Schizosaccharomyces pombe: one gene and its partners. Changing the gene in region 4 together with the main gene of any one other region gives a genetic interaction. Each region holds a gene or a part of one and is shown on either strand. Other genes may lie near its edges. The genes, in order: dri1, mrf1, ppk31 and opa3.

Region 1 (4,931 bases), on a different chromosome or scaffold from region 4:
TATACACAATGCATATGCTTGATCTTCGGAGCTTTTGAGATTGCTTTCCAACTCATCAACTGCATCCTTCAATCCCTGAGCATCGAATGATCTAACCAACATAGTTTTTTCAAGACATGGAAGAGGGAGTGCAGCCGGATTGAAAGTACCTAAAGTATCAATCCACATAATTCTATCAAACCTAGAGTAATAACTTTTTAGAATCCAGTAAAGCATCAAGTTTGCAGAATTTCCACTAAATTGAGTAACCTGATTCATAATGTCAGAAAATATATAAGCTGCTTTAAGAATTTGCTTGGTATGCTTTAAACTTTCGATAGAATTGTTTTTTCCAACGATATTGATGATCAATGAAATTGATTTTTGCAATCATCCCCTGGTTATGCTAATGGCATTCTAAAAGAGATAAACACCCAAATGCGTTGAAGGAAAAGATACGTACAATCGTCAAAAATTTCCGGAATGTTCAACAAGTATTTAACTAATCATGAGTGTGTGTTGAATCTTATCTCATGTTTTTTGTTGAACTATCTACATGGATTATATTTAATTAGGGTATGGATTAAAGAAGCAGAAAGGTCGTCAACATTCGAGTACAGTATATAGCCACACTGGTGTGGATTTGTATATATTGAGAATAACCCTTTAAGAATAAAAAGAAAAAATAGAAAAGCATCAACTAACTGTTTTTAAATGCTACATATGCGAATTTAATTCTCTCTAATAATGCCATGTATTACAAGTAACCTCATGTATCGATTGATTTAATCATTATCGTTACAAAATTTTTATAAATTATATAATAAAAAAAAGGAATATTAACAATACATTATTTACCGAAGAACCCTATAAATTTGAACAGCACTGACAACTGTAAGAGGTAAACAACCATTTTTTCAAACGTTCAATGAGTGTGACACTCCAAAACAAATGAATCCCCAAATCCCAAATATGGGAGAGCTCTATACGATTGACTGCTGTTTTTTCCCCGAAAATTTCTTCAAGGTCAAAAATTAAATAGCACTAAATAGAAGAAAAAAACCCACCAAAGAAAATTATGAACTAATTTTGACCACACCTGTAATTCAATGTTTATGCAAAACCTTCATAAGAAAACCCAATACAACTTTTAAATTTTTGTTCCAATAGAGTTGCTTTTCAAAATGCTGCCTTTAAATAATAACAATTGTTTCATCAAATTTGCTCCTTCAAGACATAAGTGATTATTTTTATCGCACTAATCACTTGCATTTTTAGCTATAGTGTTTACCAAATATCCTTTGTACTACGGGACCTATCCATTAAATATAATTGTCCAACTTTACACGTAAGCATTGAAATCCGAAGGCAAGGATGCAGGAATCTGCATATTAGAGTAATGCGGAGCATTGCAACGGAGACAATTACTGCGGCGACGAAAATTAGTAAATCCACACTCACATAACCAATCGCCTTGATCAGTAGTAACGGAAGGACGTGATACTTCTTTAAAGCGTCCATGATCATCGAACCTAGATACATTACCACCATTTTGTCCCCCAAAATTTTGACCATGATTAGCCGTTACTGAATTTATAGAAAGTTGTGAGTAAGGATACACCGAATGATTAGGAGGACTTGTACTCATAACAGGGGGGATGTGAGAATATGAATTATGACTATACGAACCATTCACCGGCCCAGATGCATGATCTGCTACGACTGCAGCTGTAGCACGGCTAGCCCCACAGCGTAAGCAGCAAACATTTTTTGCGAAATTGTGATATCCACAACCCTCAGAGCCACATTTCCAATCACCAGCACGAAAAGGGACATTACCACCGAATGAGCGTGAAGAATGATGATGATTTACAGCATTATTGCCATTCTGATGCTGAAGATCACTTTGCATGGTATTTTCGTTAGAATGATGGACAGATCCACCATAGTTGGCAATAAAGTGAGAGGAGCCGTTGCCGTATGAATTTCCATAAGGGAAATCAGGTGAAAAAGTATTGCTACCAGTAGCAGCTGAAACATGAGTAGGACCAGGAAATGAGCATCGGAAACAAGACGTTCGACGTTGAAAATTGCTGAAACCGCACATTGGGCAATTCCAATCCCCAGGGCGTGGGCGATTCTTACTAGAAGGAAAAGGAATTAGAATGTCTGAAGCTTTATCTAAAACCTTTGTACTACTGGGAATAATTTCCAGCATCCGATCTCCTAAGCAATATCCATTAAAGGCAAGAGCATCGGCAGCATCTTCATGACTAGCAAATAGCACAAAACCTGTACCCGTAGATTTGTAAGGTTCGGGAGTCTTTAAAGTCCATAAAGCTACGGGATGAACCCCATGATTAGTAAACCAACTTTCCAACTCGAGCTGTGTTACATCGTTGGTCAAACCTGCAACGTGTACAATTTTTGACCGTTCTGCATAAAAGCTTCGTGCGTCTGCTTGACAGTTAATGGGTTGTGTAAGCACCGAAGGAAGAGAATGACCTCGAGAATCTTTCTCTGCTTTACGAAGCAATAAGGTGGTAGCATTTGCAAGGCGCCAGCATTGAGTAAGACCTTTGGTTATGTAAGGAGCATCTGAAGGTGATAATTCAATTGCTTTTGACTCTGTAATAGGTGGTAAAGAGTCGACATCTAATTTACCAAAAATATGAGAAAGCGTTATTGTGTATGGTGGTACTGCACCCATGCGAATCTGCCACTTGGCGTATTCGCTTGATAAATCAAACAAGCGAGGATGGCGCATGTAGGAAGGTAGCGTAATTCCCTGATCCCGTGCTTCTTTTGGCAATAATACACGAAGCTCTCTTCCATTCATAACAACAAATGTAAAAGGTTTTCCTTGGAAGTTTAATCGTTCTTGGATTGAATTATCCAATGTGAAGATAGCTTCAGTTAAGGAACTAGCAGAACCACAAATTCCATGACGAGAACTATCTTCACGAATACTACACGATTCACAGTGTTGTTTTTCCAAAGTTTTTCCATCTAATATAACCCAGCATATTTCATGAATTTCACATGGCGCCCGGCCAATGCTAATGCCGTGATCGTCAAGATTTGTTTCAAAGTGCAAAACAACCAAGTCGCCTACCGATTCTGGCAGAGGCATTGTTGGACTTGGTAGCTTTGACATGATATTGCAAAGCTACAAACCCGTTGGTGTTTTTCTTTGTCACTCACAAGTACAGTCACAAAAGTAACAAATCTAGATTTAGAATCCACCTAAGCGGAATTATTCAAAGGAGAAAAATCTTTTATGAACAATAATATGTACAACTGATGTTACTGTCGAATCGTGTATTGTTGTGGGATTCTTTTGCATGCAAAGCAGAAAATTTAGCAATACTTTCGAAACACAATGAAAATGAAAATTTTACGATAAATTATTATACCATAATTTAGCGCATCAAGCATTTGGTATTCTTATGTCAGCAATACTACACTACGTTGAGTATCACTATATGTCACATGTTCTAATTATATATCGTACCATGTATAATACGATATGGAGATTGATCTTAATGATAATCTATTAAGATCAATATTATCTGAATACTATAAATAGAGCTACTGCTGAACCTCGTTCCTCAGTTCAGTTATGAGCTATATTAGTGATAGTTAACATTATAACCCAGTTAATACAATACCTATACTCAGTTGCTACTTATACAACCTGTGTATTGTAATATAATAGATCACAAGGAAAACTCACCGCAGTTCTACGTATCCTTAAATCAGATACCAAACTGCGTAGCTTACATCTTATGAACAATACCGGGGTTTTTTGTAACCACGTAAACAATCAAAGAACTGTTGTTTATTTTGACAATTGTATCAGGAAGTCAAGGGAAAAGTTATACTGAAAAGCCATCCATTGAAAAGTATTTGTACATCTTGCTACATAAAAAAGCTGATAGTAATTTACTTACACAACTGATAATTTACTAAATTACCGTCATTTCAATTAGAGTTGGTGTAATGTAGCAAAACATAAATTTATCAGCAATAACTCTACAATCGATAAAATGCGACCAAGTTATAGCTTAAAATTGATACAACGAATTTTATACGGACAAATAAAGGGTTAAAATTTACGTTAAGGATTTATTAAATGCCTTCCGTACAACCTAAATGAAGACTAAGAGTAATATAACGCAACGTTAATCAGCTTAGCGATTCTAAATGTGCTCTTTATTATTTGATGTGAACTGCAATAGTAAAAATCTTTGTCACCGTTAGCCTAATCGTAGATTGTATTAATCAAAGTAGCACAAAGCAAATTTTTCAAAACCTTTGAAAAATATTCAAATTCAGCTTTGTGTAGAATACACACTAGACTACAACGATGGCAGGAATAGAATCAAAGCAAAGAAGAGCTCAGAAAAAGGCAGCTAAAGCTGCTATGAAGGAAAAGAAAAACAAGGAAAGCAATGAATCTTCTACTTCTGTTGAGGCATTAAATGAGAAAGAAATGATCAATACCATTAAATCTCCTATTATTGAAACAGCTGATACAGCTGATCAAGAGAACGAATCTGAGGGATCAGATGAAGTTGAACTTTCTGATCTTGAAGGAATTGAGTTGGAAGAAGACGCTGATTTGATTAGAAAAAGAAAATTAGCTATAAATAACACTGTTGCACTAGAGAACATCTATGAACGAATTAAATATCCTGATGATATTTCGTTTGTTGAAAACCAAGCTGTTACTACTAAGGAGCCTATAATAATTGAAAATGTTGAGGATGATCTTGCCCGTGAACTGGCCTTTTATAAACAAGGTGTGAGCTCTGTAAAGGCGGCTTTTGCCAAACTTCGTGAGGCGAATGTTCTAATTTCCCGACCTCATGACTATTTTGCGGAAATGTTAAAGTCCGATGACCACATGGAGAAAGTGCGTCAAGAGTTGATTAAAGAAGCAACCGCTA
Region 2 (4,298 bases), on a different chromosome or scaffold from region 4:
ACCATCTTGCGAATGTGACTCCCATGATATGTCAGAAATGCTATGTGTTTCATCAATAAGTTGGTCACTGGGATTGGAATACAGTATTTTTTGATAACCCCGGAGTTTCACCAAGTAAGGGAGCACTTCTTTTGGAAATTTAGGCAATTTCATGCGTCTTCCGGAAAATCGATGTTGAAATTCAAAAAAAAGAAAGTGTGAATGAAGATTTATGAAATCGCGCAACTGTCTGTAAATCAACCAACGGATAGCATGTGGCCCAGTACCATATTCAACTTGAATTGTGAAAGTACTGTGTATGCGATTATGTTTAGGCTCCACATCAAGCACTGAGACCTTTATTAGGTCGGTAATAATAGGCAATACCGGCTGCCCAGATTTATCTCGAATAAAATGCTTGGCTATAGGTAAAGATGCAGGTATGCCTGCTTCGAAAAGATTAATAGCAGGCAAGTTCTCCTTTAATATAGGCTTTTCATCTTCCCTTTTAAATTTGCGAACAGAAGCCATTAATTGTGCCCACATTTGTCTGGCAGAATTACGGTTTGCCTTACTTGTATGGGCAGCAGCTGCATCACGTTCGTCTCTCTCTAAAGGAGGAACTTCAACGTTCTCATCCTCCATTGTCTGTGTGATAAATTCTGGAGTTTGCACTCTTGTACTATCATTCGCAGCAAGATCGTTAACGTTTTCAGAGGCTGTATGCCAAGAAGACCCCCGGGTGTGTTCCAAATCGGGCCGTTTTGGAGGATTTAAATTAACAAATTCAGAGTAGTTTTTTGGATCATTCTCAGGAAACGATGGAATAGAATGGTCGACGTTTTTTTCAAGATCTGTAATTTTGGATGGTGTGTGATCTTCTGCATCTTTCCGTCCTGTCCCCTTTTCAGAGTAGATGCTATCATTTACATTTGTGTTTAACGAATAAGGTACATTATCAATCACTGAATTTCCACCTTGATGAATTGTCATTTTGTTATTAAATTAGCAATTGGCTAAAGTTTTTTTGAGACTCAGGGAAATCCAAGTCCCTATGGAGAAAAGCCAATGCTTTATAAATGAGTAAAAGCCAAGAGGGCTTTATTGAACAAATCCCAAAAACAGTTTAAGTGGTTTGGTAAAGCTTAGCTGCGCATTTCAAAATGAATAATACACCATCATGAAAGCTTGGTTAAAGTTTCGTTTAACTGCGCTAGCATAAATAAGGAAACTTTATGAACAATACAAATGTTTATTTACATCGCTATTGTGTAGTTTAATGGTATTTGTCCAATGGATATCGATGCTTCCTACAACCAAATTATTTTTTCTTGAAGAGTTCGTCTCCCTTTTATTGTAATCGTCGAGCAAGAGTTTGTTCAGCTCAACTTACATTAGCTTATCAAAATTAACAATACATATCTCTACTAGTTGTCAGCTATTCCTCACTAAATTATTATTGCACTATGTTAAATACCACTATATTGATTTACGTTTCCACTTTCAAAGTCGTTAATACAGCAAAAAGCTACACAAATGCCCTACATGAGACTTAGATATTTGCGTATTATGCTATTATAAACAATGTGCCTACGTTCCTCAATTCCCTGATTATTATACTATGCAGCATAGTTATTGCTAGCCAAATTAATTATAACTGTATTCGTGGCGACTCTACTCATAAAATAATAGCAAACTCTTTCTAGGTGTATAGATTCGTAAAAAAAATTTACGAGTTAAGAATGCGTACACAAAATTTTACTTTGCTGTGCACTGTCGGATTATAATGCATATCCGACAGAATTTGCAAGGACCTCCTTAAATATCATAAAAGTACTTATCGAAGAAGCACACCAAGGTCAGAAAGGCGGTTTTAACAGGTTAACACTAATTAGTTTTACTGCTAATTCTTTGAGTATGCAGAAATAAAAGAAACTCAAAATACAAGGTGATGCTTCTAACTAAAAAAGTTTTATGGTACTTTAGACATGGAATTGAATATCAAATTCGTAGCATTGCTTGCAAAAAAGGATACTCTGAGCATAACGTTTCAAGAGTACTTATTGAAAAAGCCCGATCGCTTTCTTCAGAGTATCTTCAATTCCATCAAGTAAATAATAAAGTAAGTGTCGGCAAACAAAGTGTGAAATCAGCCTGCTACTGTTCGAGATACAATAATAATGGTAATACAAGCATACCGGACATTAAGCTTTACTCATGAAAAATTAAAATCTGATATAAATGATCTAACTTATATCTTTTAGGATCAATCGGCAATGACAAACGATACAGATTTAGCAAAGCGAATCGCTAGGCTTCGACGCGTTCATAATGCATATTCGAAATTTAAAAGTTTGTCTGAGGTATGATATAAGACGAATTTGTCTCAAACTTGTAGTCAAAAGCTTTCCTTTTTTTTATTACTCTTCCTATTTATAGTAATCGATTTACAATGGTTTTTTTTTGCTAATGGGTCTATAACTTAAGACTTTTGCCAGGCATTTACTGTTTATCTAAGTAAAGCTATTTGATGAGCATGTTGAAATACTTAAATAACTAGTTTTTGAAAACCTTGATTTAAAAAAATTCTAACAATTTAGCAAATAAGCGATTTGAAACAAATGGAGGCCCAAGAGTCAGATGCAGAGGTTAAAATGATGGCAGTGACTGAAATAAACGAAATAAGTAATAAAATACCAAAAAGCATAGAAGATCTTGAAAACACATTACTTCCACAAGCTGATTCATATGCTCTTCCTGCATTAATCGAAATTCGTCCTGGTGTAGGAGGAACAGAGGCCGCAATATTTGCAAATGAACTAGTGGAAATGTATTTTCAGTATGCAAATTTTAAAGGATGGAATTGCAAATTTATATCAAAAAGTGCAGTCCAAGGACTTGAAGCGATAACGGAGGCCATCTTCTCTATTGAAGGTGAGGGAGCTTATGGTCATCTTATGTTGGAAGGAGGTGTTCATAGGGTTCAGAGGACTCCTGCTACCGAAACTAAAGGAAGAGTTCATACGAGTACTGCATCAGTAATCGTTTTACCTCAGGTGTCAAATGATGAATCCTCTTCTCTTTACGATTCATCTGAAGTTAAAATCGAAGTAATGAGATCTCGTGGAGCCGGTGGACAACACGTTAATAGAACAGAATCCGCCGTACGTTTAACACACATACCCACTGGTATCACTGTTAGCATGCAAGATTCTCGTTCTCAGCATCAAAACAAAGAAAAGGCATTTCTTGTACTGAATTCAAGATTGGCTGCCTTAAATGCCGCAAAAGAAAATGAGGCTGAAAGACTGAAACGTAAAAATCAAGTAACGTCTTCAGATCGTTCGGAAAAGCTACGAACTTATAACTTCAACCAAAATCGAGTAACTGATCATCGGATAGGTTTAAGCATGCACGATTTATCAACATTTATGCAAGGTGAAGAAAAATTTGACGAGTTTTTGGAAAAAATAAGAATATGGAATCGTGAACAGTTGCTATTACACTCTGAAATAGTATAGGAATGCTAATTTAGTCTAGTAAAATAGGAAGGTACAATAATATATGGTGGTCAAACTTCTATAGAGAAAAATGTTTATTAGGTATATGCAATGAATAATGAGAAAAGAATGTGCAACATGTCATGCAAATAAGATATCCATAACTGATCTTTAAAAAAGATCATAGGTTAACTCATAATAACATATTTTTAACTACCACTTAAACTGGAATCTCTTGAGGCGACTGCTTCGTTCACTATCTTTGCATCCTGATCAATAAAGATTGCGGCACTTTCATTGGAAGCAGAAGAATGGCTGAAATTACGTCTTGTCTTTCTAGTATTCAAGGCATACGACGATCTGATCAATGAGGTGGGCACATTTTCAAGAGTAAATTCAGATTCAGCGGGAATTTCTGAAGGTTGCAGCTCCTCAAACGAAGATCTTGGAGATTCGACAGCAGTATGAGATCGGACAGAAGAAATGGAGTCTGGTCTAGTTGGTGATACATCTGTACTCCGAGGAGTAGCAGAAGATTGATATAATACACGGTCAGAAACACGTTTGGATGAATTCAATTTTCTGAGTTCTTCAAAAATACTTGGTCCGTAAGTTAAAAGATCCTCCATGAACTTCGTTGGGTGCTTATCATGTTGAATACCCAAATTCCATGTTGCTGGACGGGAAATGCATAAAGATAAGGAGTTAGCTAAATTTATAGTAAAAGTTTCTTTATTTGGAGTAAGCGTAATCAAGCGATTTAGATGAGTAATGATGGCACTCAAAGTAGCAAGATTAACACGTCGAAGTTGGGATAAA
Region 3 (5,941 bases), 1.7 Mb from region 4:
GTTTGTAAAGAGTTTTCAACAACGTTATCAGTATCGCTATGCTGGAAAATTTGAGGATCTATGTTTTTATTATGAGCTAAATTATCATTAGCAAAGCTATTCACAGACGAAGTGTAAGGATCGTCAGAAATATTGTTTGACTTTAAAAAATCTTCCCATTGTTTCTGGTATTCCTCTAAACTTGCGGGCTCTAGCCCGGCGTTTTTCAATTGCTTTTGATGCTCTTCCCATAGCTCCTCAATTGATTTACTTCCAGTAGCATCCTTTTCCTTCTCTAATTTATTGGAGATTTGAGAAGCTTCCTCAAATTTCTTAGCCAACTCAGTTTCGTCAATAGCTAAAGAACTTTGTAAGGGTATTTCAGTATTTGAAGATAAATTTAGTCCAGCGGAACCAAAAAAAGATTGTTTTAAAGGTTGGTTTAAGTTTCGAAAACGGTCGTTTTCAGATGAATTGAGAAATACTTCAGAGAATTCTGATGTCCAAGCCGACTTACTATTCTGCTGCTGAAGAGAAGAAAAAGAATGTACCCAATTTTCTTTCGAGCCTCCACGAGTAGTTGTGCCGGTATGATTTCCAGTTTTTAAGCTAACTGGGTTCTTAACTACATTACCTAAAGGACTATTGTTTCCTTGGAGATTTTTGAAAGATGTGAATTGATCCTCAGACAGCGTTTGCAAAGGAGCGTAAGTACGACTTTGAGACTTGGTTAAATGTTTTCGATATTGAGCTGAAGGTGTTGAATTATTGACAACAGCTGTGGAAGTCAATTTCTTAAGAGGATTAGATAGCGTTGAACATCCTGCTTCAACAGACATTTTTGAAGAAAGTAGACTATAGCCAATATAAAGGCTCTCGACCAAAAGGAAATAGTTTTTTAAGTAGGTTGTAAGAAAATTAATATCAAAGAATGAAAAATTTCGCAACTTGATTGAATTTGCGATGTGTTTTAAAAACCAAAAATATGAAAACAAAAAAGCGGAAGAAGTAACGATGCAACTAACCAAAAAACAAAAATTGATCGCACCAATGATTGTTACAAAACTTGCGTATAAACTCAGGCATGTATTGCTGCTTATTACCAATTACAAAAATATTTAGATGAGTGCGCTCAGTTCATGTAGATGCTGAGCGTAGCACGTTAGATTAATCGCTTCTGTAATACACCACATTAACCCATATCAATTTATAATAAAGACTTTCTCTTTATTTTTTCAGACTAATCTATTGCCACTAAGGAATTTAGATTTCAACATTTTATTATACTTTTGTAAACCATGCTGCATATGTTAAAACCATAGCTTTATGATACAGAGAAAAAAATCCATATTATTTCTAAGTTCTTTTCAAATTAGTGTGATTAGAAAGTTAAACCAAGGGTTGGATTGAAGTATTAACTCTACATCTATTTATTCACCTGTTGTCTAAATTACAACGCCAAATGAATTAAATCACCAAATACTTCTGTCGCTCACAATAAAATGTATTAAAAAACTAATTAATTTTCGCTAGTCAATATTCGCTGTAACAATGGTTTTGGTTGTTTTCTGCTTAATACCAATTGATGCCACCTACAGTTCACATCCGACAAATATTTGTTAAAGAACCTGTCGCTAATTAAAGTGCTAAAAATCGCTCGTTCAAATTGTGATCTCATTATGAATTAGCATATTAGTTGGCGAATTTAATAAAGCCAAGTAATAAATTGATGATGTTATAATAACGAAAACATTGTATACAACAACAATTCCGCTTCATAAGTAAAAAAAGGTATTTAAATTATACGAGTCTTACAAACTATTAAAAGTCTTTGCCGAAAAACTATCGCGTAAGAACCATTTGCATTGATTTTACACAACTTTGAATACAATTTCTTTTATACCAAGAAGCTTAAAGTGTTCAATTATGATAAACAATGACTAATCCAGAGCAATTGAAGAGGATACTTTCCCACGAAGTTCTGCTGAAAATTGAAATGTCAAAAAATGGAATAGTGGAATATGCCAATCCTGCATTTTTTGAATTAATCGGCTACGAAGGAGATTTATTTCAATGTAGTTTCTATGAGTATCTTCAAAGCGATGATGAACACTTAATGAAGAAAGCAACCGATAATCTTTTCAGAAAAAGCATATCAGTTGCACATGTCTTTGCTTTTCTCAGATGTAATCCAATACGCAGTCCTAATTATTATATTCAACAAGCCAAAGCTCCATTTGAGGGAAAGACGTATATTAGAATGCTTTTTCGAGGCATTCTAGTAGACTCATTGTATGGTAAAGATACAAGGGTTTTGTGGGCAGGAAAATATTTATATCCACAACGGTCCGTGATCAACGAAATGGATTTCATCCTGTTTAACACGTTAGGGATTGGTGCCTTCATTCTTCATGATCATTTGCTCGGAATAATCAAATACAATTATATACACGTTCCTCCTCCTTCAGGAAAATTATGTTCGTTGTGTGAAGATAATTTACCAGAGTGGTACTTTGAGGTACATAGCGATTTTTGCCTTGTTTGGAATGATCTCGTACGCCGCGTTTTCGCCGTACAACAATTGATAAATTGTAAGAAGCTGGAAATAGAAGACATAGTTAACAAACTCCCTACGGGTAGTAATCATATGGTTGAAGAAACCTTTCTTTCCTTGCCGGTCATAACAGTATTCAACGGGAAGAAAAACAGAAAACAGAGGTTTCGCATTCGATCATGGAGAAGCTCTCTGAACTTTTTGGTTAAGGAACTGGACAAATCCATTAAAAATTTTGCTTATTTAGAACATCGAACGTTTTTGACAATTTCAAATTCTGCCGCGAAAGACATGAAGCGAGAGATTTATGAAAAATCATTGGTGAATTGGGAGTATGATTTTCTTGTTCCCTCAAAGATCCAGGATTATTTTTACGATGTTCATTCACTTCTTTTGAAAAATTTATCGTCTAAAATAAAACTCTGTAATCACATTTTAATGTATCAAGCAACGTTTAATGAAGTTAAAAATTTTCTTCAAACGTACTCCTTGAATATGCTATCAATTGAGATGGAAAACATCGAAGGAAGTCTGTACTTTGGAAATGCTCAATTGTCCAATCTAATTTGCGTAAACCAATACCTTTCCGAACAGAGACCAGTGTTTTTCAACAGGCTGTTAGCCCTTGGGAACGTTGAAAATAATAATTCAATTTACGATGACATCCAGAAACGAACAGAACGTATATCTACCATAAAAAGACATAAAAAATACTTTGAGATTGGAGAACGCTTAACAGAAAAAGACTTAATTGTGTCTAAAACCTTTAAAACAACAAGGATAGATTATTTTAAAGCGGTAAAGGGATCAATTGAAGATCTGGATGTGAGACCTCTAAAAAATCGGCAGAAATTTGTTAACAAATTCTATGCCTCGATCGTTCATTTTCTTACCGAAAGTATGCAGTTCCCAAGCCATAATGATAGGAGATTTGGGGATAATACTCCTCACTCATTAGACGAGTTCATACTTTTAAAAGAAATAAACAGAGGGGCATACGGTAGGGTTTATCTTGCTAAAAAAAGATCTTCAGGAAAGTATTTTGCTCTTAAAATGATTCCAAAATCCAGTCTTGATAGCTTAAAAAAAATAAAAGGACTATTGCTTGAAAAGCGTAACATGCATATCCAAAGATATGGACCAAACACAGTGAAATTATATTATGCATTTGATTCTGGGGACTACCTATGCCTTGTAATGGATTATTTTAATGGAGGAGATTGTGAAACACTTATTCAAAAATTAGGACCGTTACCAGAGCAATGGGTTTGCCAGTACGCAGCTGAATTACTAAATGCTATCGAGCTTTTGCATCAGGATGGAATCATCCATCACGACATAAAGCCTGCCAACATGTTGGTTGACGAAACAGGACATATTCGGCTTACAGACTTCGGACTGAGTGAAAACGTAGAGGAAAAAAAAGAGGTTTATAAGCTTACTAAGAGGATGTCATTTGAACAGAAACATGGAAATTTGTATGAGCAGCTTCAACCTAAAAAATTCGAATTTGTAAGATATGTTCGAAATTACCGCGGGAATATTGATGAGCTTGAGAAAGCGGAGAGTCCACAGCAAAATAGTGATTATGCCAATGACTCGGTCCAGCATTTACTTGACTTTGATATCAATAACATGGATGAAACAGCAATACACATGTTAATGAATCAGTTAGAGAAAAAGGAAAACCGGACATTCATCAAAAAAGATATTTCAGGGACGCCAAATTATATGGCTCCAGAAATTTTAATGGGCGTTGATACTCAGATGGGCGATATATGGGCGATGGGTTGTGTGATATTCGAAATGTTGACTGGCACGCGACCATTTGAAGCAAATACTGTAAAAGCAATATGGGCTCGCATAGAGAGAAATGATATTGGTTGGACTAAAAGAGTGAAAGAAAGCTGCTCAAAGGAGGCGGTAGACTTAATCACCAAACTCATGGATCCAGACTGTAACAAACGGCTGGGTAGCAATGGATACCAGGAAATCAAAAAACATCCTTTTTTTCGAACCATTAAATGGGATAATTTAAATAGTGGGCCAGGTCCGTTCGTTCCACAAACAGAAAATGTTGAAGATTTGACGTACTTTGAAAAAAACATAAGCGGTTCGGATAATATTAATAAAAATAATTGTCAGACGTCAGCAACTTTAATTCTAAATGGTATTTTTGCTTTTCATCCTCCTCCAAAAGCAACACCAGCTGACAGTGGTACTGAAACCTCAAACTCAGCTGCTTTCTCTGCGTCCGAGGAGGAGACCACAAATTTAACAGACCAAAAACGAAAAGATCTTTTTTCACTAATAACCAAAGCGTTTAAGGGAATAGACTTAAAGGCCCTTAATTACAACAACAAAGCCACGCTTTTGCGAATGTATGATGAGGTCGATTTCCCCAAAAATCAACAAAGAAATAAAGAGAAATTTCGAATTCAGAAACGACCTAACAAAAAGTATCGCTACCATTTATTTTAACATCATGTAAAACCATAGACATAACATGTTCGCTATCCAGAACGAATCATGATAAGTTGAAAAATGGTTAATTAATATTTCCATACAGAAACAGTAAAAAGACAAATAAACTTGTTCTACAAAATCTTTTATTCTGAGGCTTTAGCCAAATAATGCTTCTAACATAAGTTGATGTTTCCTCCTTGAATCCAAATATTATTAATAGTTGAATTTCATATATGAAAAAAAGCTATCTCATTTCACTAAACGTTTCAAAGGATGACATTTCCTATACGACAGAACATTTAAGAGGACTGAATAGTTTACGAATTGAAGTAAGTTAGAACAAAGTGTTTACCGCATATCTTTGAAAGCGTTAAATGATTTTAACAATATTTTTCGCATCGTTATTCAAGTAAGTATTATTTGACAGATTATATGATATACCTAACAATACTCCTTTATATCATTGATTTTGAACATTCGCCGAAATGTTTAGTTGGGCTAATATTGGGTCCAACGAGTATTTGCCTTTGAAAAATGATCGAAAGGCTTATTTGAATCAATGGGCAAAACGATCGGGACTAGCAATTGCCGCTATTTGCATTTTAGGAATTCTGATATTGGCAATTGTGAAATTATTTTGCTTCAAAGCAATTATTTTTCCTATCGTTGGAGGTTCCTTCAACAATGGGACCAATGTTTTTCAGTCCACTGTCATCGTAATCTCCTTGGATGGATTCCGTGCTGATTACTTATATCGTGGGTTCACACCTAATCTTCTGAGCCTGGCTGAACGTAATGTCCATGTTCCCTTTTTGATTCCTTCTTTTCCTAGTATAACTTTCCCTAATCACTATACTATTGTTACCGGTTTATATCCCGAGAGCCATGGAATCGTTAGTAACAACTTTTTTGATCCTGTAACTGGGAAGCAATTTGTCAACA
Region 4 (4,243 bases):
TTGAGTGAAGCCTTTGTCTGCACATATAATATATTTGTTTTGAAAACATATGAAATACTACGGAAAGTTAAGATACGCTAAACGAAATAACGATACTTAATATAATTAGCAGCATGATAGTAAAAGATTTGCCCGTGAGCATTCTTTGGGCTGTAGGGTCCCCCACTCCGCTGCGTTGGTATATGCGTAGACTGAAGCGAGCAACAGAACGTCCGCCATTACTGTGCATATACGATGAATCCAGAGTAGTAAGGATTTAGCATACTATTCAATACATCAGGAGCTAGAAATTAACAATTTATAGAGTATTTTCTTTCCAAAATTAAAGAATTCTTGTAAATTGGGCGATATAATTGCTAATCAATAGGTAATGAGTTTTTTTACCGTAAGAAGATGAATGCTAATATTAATAGATACGACTATCTCTTTAAGCTTTTACTTATTGGCGACTCTGGTGTCGGTAAGAGTTGCCTTCTTCTACGTTTTGCCGATGACACTTATACTGAATCCTATATCTCTACTATCGGAGTTGATTTTGTACGTCCGTTTTCAAGCAGCTTAACCATATTTATTGCTAACTTTTTTTAGAAAATCAGAACTTTTGAATTAGAGGGAAAGACTGTTAAACTTCAAATCGTAAGTGATAGTTTACTTCTCGTTGGCGTTCCGGGATATTTTTTTATTAACGATTTATCATAGTGGGATACCGCTGGTCAAGAACGTTTCCGTACAATTACTAGCTCATACTATCGTGGAGCTCATGGAATTATCATCGTATACGATGTTACCGATCAAGGTATGTAATGTGTGAAGTATGGAAAACCAATTTGATTGTCTTCCGTTTTCTGTATATGCGCGTATATGCGTTATAAGGCGTTTGGGGGATATTTTTATGGCGTTTTCTAGTCTTCACATTGTTTCCGACGCGGTTCCGAGGCTAATGCTTGCTTCTTAGATTCTTTCAACAATGTTAAGCAATGGCTTCAGGAAATAGATAGATATGCCGTTGAAGGAGTCAATCGTCTTCTTGTAGGAAACAAGTCAGATATGGTTGATAAGAAGGTTGTTGAATATTCTGTTGCTAAGGAGTTTGCTGACAGTTTGAATATTCCTTTCCTCGAAACGTCTGCTAAAGATTCTACAAATGTTGAGCAAGCTTTCTTAACTATGTCCCGTCAAATTAAGGAACGTATGGGAAATAATACATTTGCCTCTTCCAATGCCAAATCTAGTGTCAAGGTTGGTCAGGGCACTAACGTTTCCCAAAGTTCCAGCAACTGCTGCTAAACTACATGTTTGTTGGTTATACCTCTGAATGCGCTTTTAATATATTTTTATATACATACGTTTTACGTACTTCGCTGTCATTCCTTTTGTGAGTTTCATTCGCTGACGGTGAACTGCTAATATTAGGTATCTACTTTCTGAGTTTTTACGATACTTATAGAAAGTTATTTGTAGGTTTGGATGCATGCTACGTTTCCCTTTTATCAACGGTAGTTTAAAATCTTAAGCAAAGCTATGTAGAAAACTGCTAGTCTTATGTACTTTATTTTGTAGCGTGATATGATAAACTGTTGTAAACGTTGTATAATACGCGTATTGCTCATTAACTAGCACTTTACAGTATTCCCTAAAACTATAGTTGCTTGGAACTATTTGCATAACATACGGTTCGCTAACAAAAGTCATTAACTAAAAATCAAATATATAATAGTAAGTCAAAGGTTGAATGGTATGTACGTTACATTAAGAAATGAAAATACAACTGTACTACTAAGGACAAGTATTGATAACTGCGACACTAAAGTTTCTAATACAAGCAAAATATTAAGCACACACAGGGATCGGTGTAAGAAGGATTAGTAAACCAATCAGAGAAACCGACAGAATATGCATATCAAGTTCAGCAACATCAAATTTACTTTCCTCTTCCAATAACTTTTCTAATTAATAGATTAAAAAAATAAAGCACGCACTTGGTGTTGCGGTTTTAAATATTGCTATTGATTAACGGAAGAGTATATCTTCGACCTTGCATAAATATCCTAGCTATTGTTACACGCTTATATCTGCATTCTAATTTTATCGGAGATTTCTTTCTTTTATACCTCTATTTAATTGAGGTGGTAGTACTTTTAGTCGGTAATTTGAAATCCTTTGCGGGTTTATTCCCCCTCGAATATTTTTGAAGTTCTGGTATCCATTAACATTTCTCTACAATCCAATGTCTTCTCTAGCCTTAAAAATCGGAAGCTTGTTAGTAAGAACATTATCCAAACCGATTGCCAATACAATCAAAGCCCAAGCTAAAGAGCACAAGGCTTTCCGAAAGGTATAAATCAGTAAAATAGATGATAAAGAGAATCTTATAGCATTACTAACGAAATTTCTATATAGGCATGTATTGAATTTGCTCAATGGATGCATCGCGCGGAATTTAGAATAACAGGAATTAACAGAGCTAAAAGTGGAGGAGCTAATGTACGATTACGACCTTTAAACGATGCCAAAGCAGTCGATGCTGGTGCAACATTTTTATCAGAAACTTTTATATTGTATGAAAATTAATACGATTTGACGTACTTCCTCTCCACAATGCTTAATACGGCACATTGTGAAGGAGCTACGAAATCCAACTTGTCACAATGTTCTTCTCTTGCTAACAATTTACAGTACTGTTGCTGGAGGAGCCATTTTATTTGAAACATGGAGGGCTCGTAGAAAGGAAAAGAATAGACGAGATGAAGTTGCTGAAGCGATTCTTGGTTTACAACATGAAATCGTTCGTATTAACGAAATCATGGAAAAGCAGTTTGTTTTACAGAAGAAAAAGAATGAACTCCAATCTTCGACTGAGGAAATTGATAGTACCGAAAAGGATTTTGACGAACTCCACAAAGTCATTCTTAAAGTTGAACGTGAGCTCCATACTCTTCGTCAAAACACGCCAAGTCAGAACGAGCAAGCAGAAGCCACTCCTTCAAAGGAAATCCCACGTGAAACAGTCTCAGAAAAGGCAGATCATCCTCCATCTTCTAACACCAAATCGGTTTCTACAGGTTAGTGGATGGTGAATACTACGATTACACATAACTTGCATTAATGAGTAAATTTTGATACATTGCAGAAATTCATCTGTTCCCATTTCACCAAACTGATGTTTACTTTCTTTTAATTTATTGTACATTTGATACTTCGTTTAACCAGATCACATTTCCAAAATTAGTTACGGTTTATTTATAGCTTTTTTGACTTAATATCTACTGAGTTTTATCGCTCATTTTACAATACATTGCACTTCGTTATTTTAGATAGTTGGCTGTTAATATAATAATAGCCTAAGATTATGATCACCAACGTACGCCCCTTTCTGAGCGCGTGAAAGCTTCCCTTTGCGTTCACTTCCCCGCTGTGCTTGGTTTGTAAACTTAGCATCCTTTAGTTCAACTCAGCATGTCGCTGCTTCGTTGGATGGGAATGGTAATTCAATTGTTAGTTATGAATTGAAGACTGACAAACTATAGAATTCCCCAGGCTCCACTGACCGGCGTAAAAGCACTTGGGAAGCAGAGTTGCCGAAGCCATCAATTCGCCCTGAAACCCTAACAGATCGATTCTATGGTTTAACAAATGTAAGCATTTTTATTAGTTATAATTTCTTCTGCTCTAACATATTTTTAGTATGGAAATACATGGTATGGCGATCATACTTGTAGCGTTGCTTTTATGATTGTAAATTTCTAACGAAATAGTTACGTGAGTTCTGTCTTAGTATCTTTATACCATTTAAAGCCCTTTCGTGATTCTTTAAATTCGTATCCTCTTCCGAGTGCTCCTCCAAATTTTAAAAGCGTTTGTACAAAAACCAACCATCCTGAATCATCTTCCTCACGACACAGTAAGAAAAAGAGCATGGAGAATAGGAAGTCCTCTTTATACGGGTCCAATGGTATAAATTCTTGCGGCTGTGTCGATATTAGTAACGTCGGCTCTGAATCCGGGACGAAGCATCAAATCGTTGTAGGCGAAAGCAATTGTTCTGCTTATGGAATGAAAGAAAACATATATACTTGTTTAAAGGATCTTTATTGCTCCGTAAGTTGCTGTGATTGTCGTTATGGTATTTGTTCTCCCGAGCGTTTTATCCAAGTTCTACGTAGAGACAATGAAGCTTTTCGCAGTACTCAGCAGCAAGATGCTCACGAGTTTTTTAATTTTCTTCTTAATTCTGTTACAGAAA

The links.
Region 1: mutations in opa3 (region 4) and dri1 together harm fitness less than expected from each alone (positive genetic interaction), as found in Schizosaccharomyces pombe (one large-scale study listed by BioGRID).
Region 2: mutations in opa3 (region 4) and mrf1 together harm fitness less than expected from each alone (positive genetic interaction), as found in Schizosaccharomyces pombe (one large-scale study listed by BioGRID).
Region 3: mutations in opa3 (region 4) and ppk31 together harm fitness less than expected from each alone (positive genetic interaction), as found in Schizosaccharomyces pombe (one large-scale study listed by BioGRID).

What each region holds. Positions count from the first base shown.
Region 1 is NC_003424.3:2,008,584-2,013,514, forward strand, and holds dri1 (RNA-binding protein involved in heterochromatin assembly Dri1), read right to left. Parts: upstream 3,123-4,931; 5' UTR 3,113-3,122; coding exon 1,322-3,112; 3' UTR 762-1,321; downstream 1-761. Other genes in the region: rdl1 (RAD51D-like protein 1), read right to left, coding at 1-258; rRNA processing protein Ebp2, read left to right, coding at 4,349-4,931. UniProt on the Schizosaccharomyces pombe protein: Mediates heterochromatin assembly by promoting RNAi-mediated heterochromatin silencing and histone deacetylation. Binds pericetromeric transcripts and recruits the RNA-induced transcriptional silencing (RITS) complex to heterochromatin.
Region 2 is NC_003424.3:568,306-572,603, forward strand, and holds mrf1 (peptide chain release factor), read left to right. Parts: upstream 1-1,862; 5' UTR 1,863-1,930; coding exon 1,931-2,101; exon of another isoform or gene 2,102-2,243; coding exon 2,244-2,342; exon of another isoform or gene 2,343-2,428; intron 2,429-2,447; exon of another isoform or gene 2,448-2,579; coding exon 2,580-3,500; 3' UTR 3,501-3,571; downstream 3,572-4,298. Other genes in the region: phospholipase D Pld1, read right to left, coding at 1-972; putatiRho-type GTPase-activating protein Rga8, read right to left, coding at 3,689-4,298.
Region 3 is NC_003423.3:1,211,896-1,217,836, reverse strand, and holds ppk31 (serine/threonine protein kinase Ppk31), read left to right. Parts: upstream 1-1,915; coding exon 1,916-5,014; 3' UTR 5,015-5,147; downstream 5,148-5,941. Other genes in the region: peroxisomal targeting signal receptor Pex5, read right to left, coding at 1-818; npp1 (nucleotide pyrophosphatase), read left to right, coding at 5,485-5,941. UniProt on the Schizosaccharomyces pombe protein: Has a role in meiosis.
Region 4 is NC_003423.3:2,932,755-2,936,997, forward strand, and holds opa3 (mitochondrial outer membrane lipid metabolism regulator Opa3), read left to right. Parts: upstream 1-1,936; 5' UTR 1,937-2,227; coding exon 2,228-2,335; exon of another isoform or gene 2,336-2,400; coding exon 2,401-2,558; exon of another isoform or gene 2,559-2,676; coding exon 2,677-3,067; 3' UTR 3,068-3,368; downstream 3,369-4,243. Other genes in the region: GTPase Ypt1, read left to right, coding at 235-245, 414-537, 589-636, 700-796, 956-1,287; ubiquitin hydrolase Ubp9, read left to right, coding at 3,457-3,483, 3,528-3,635, 3,685-3,698, 3,756-4,243.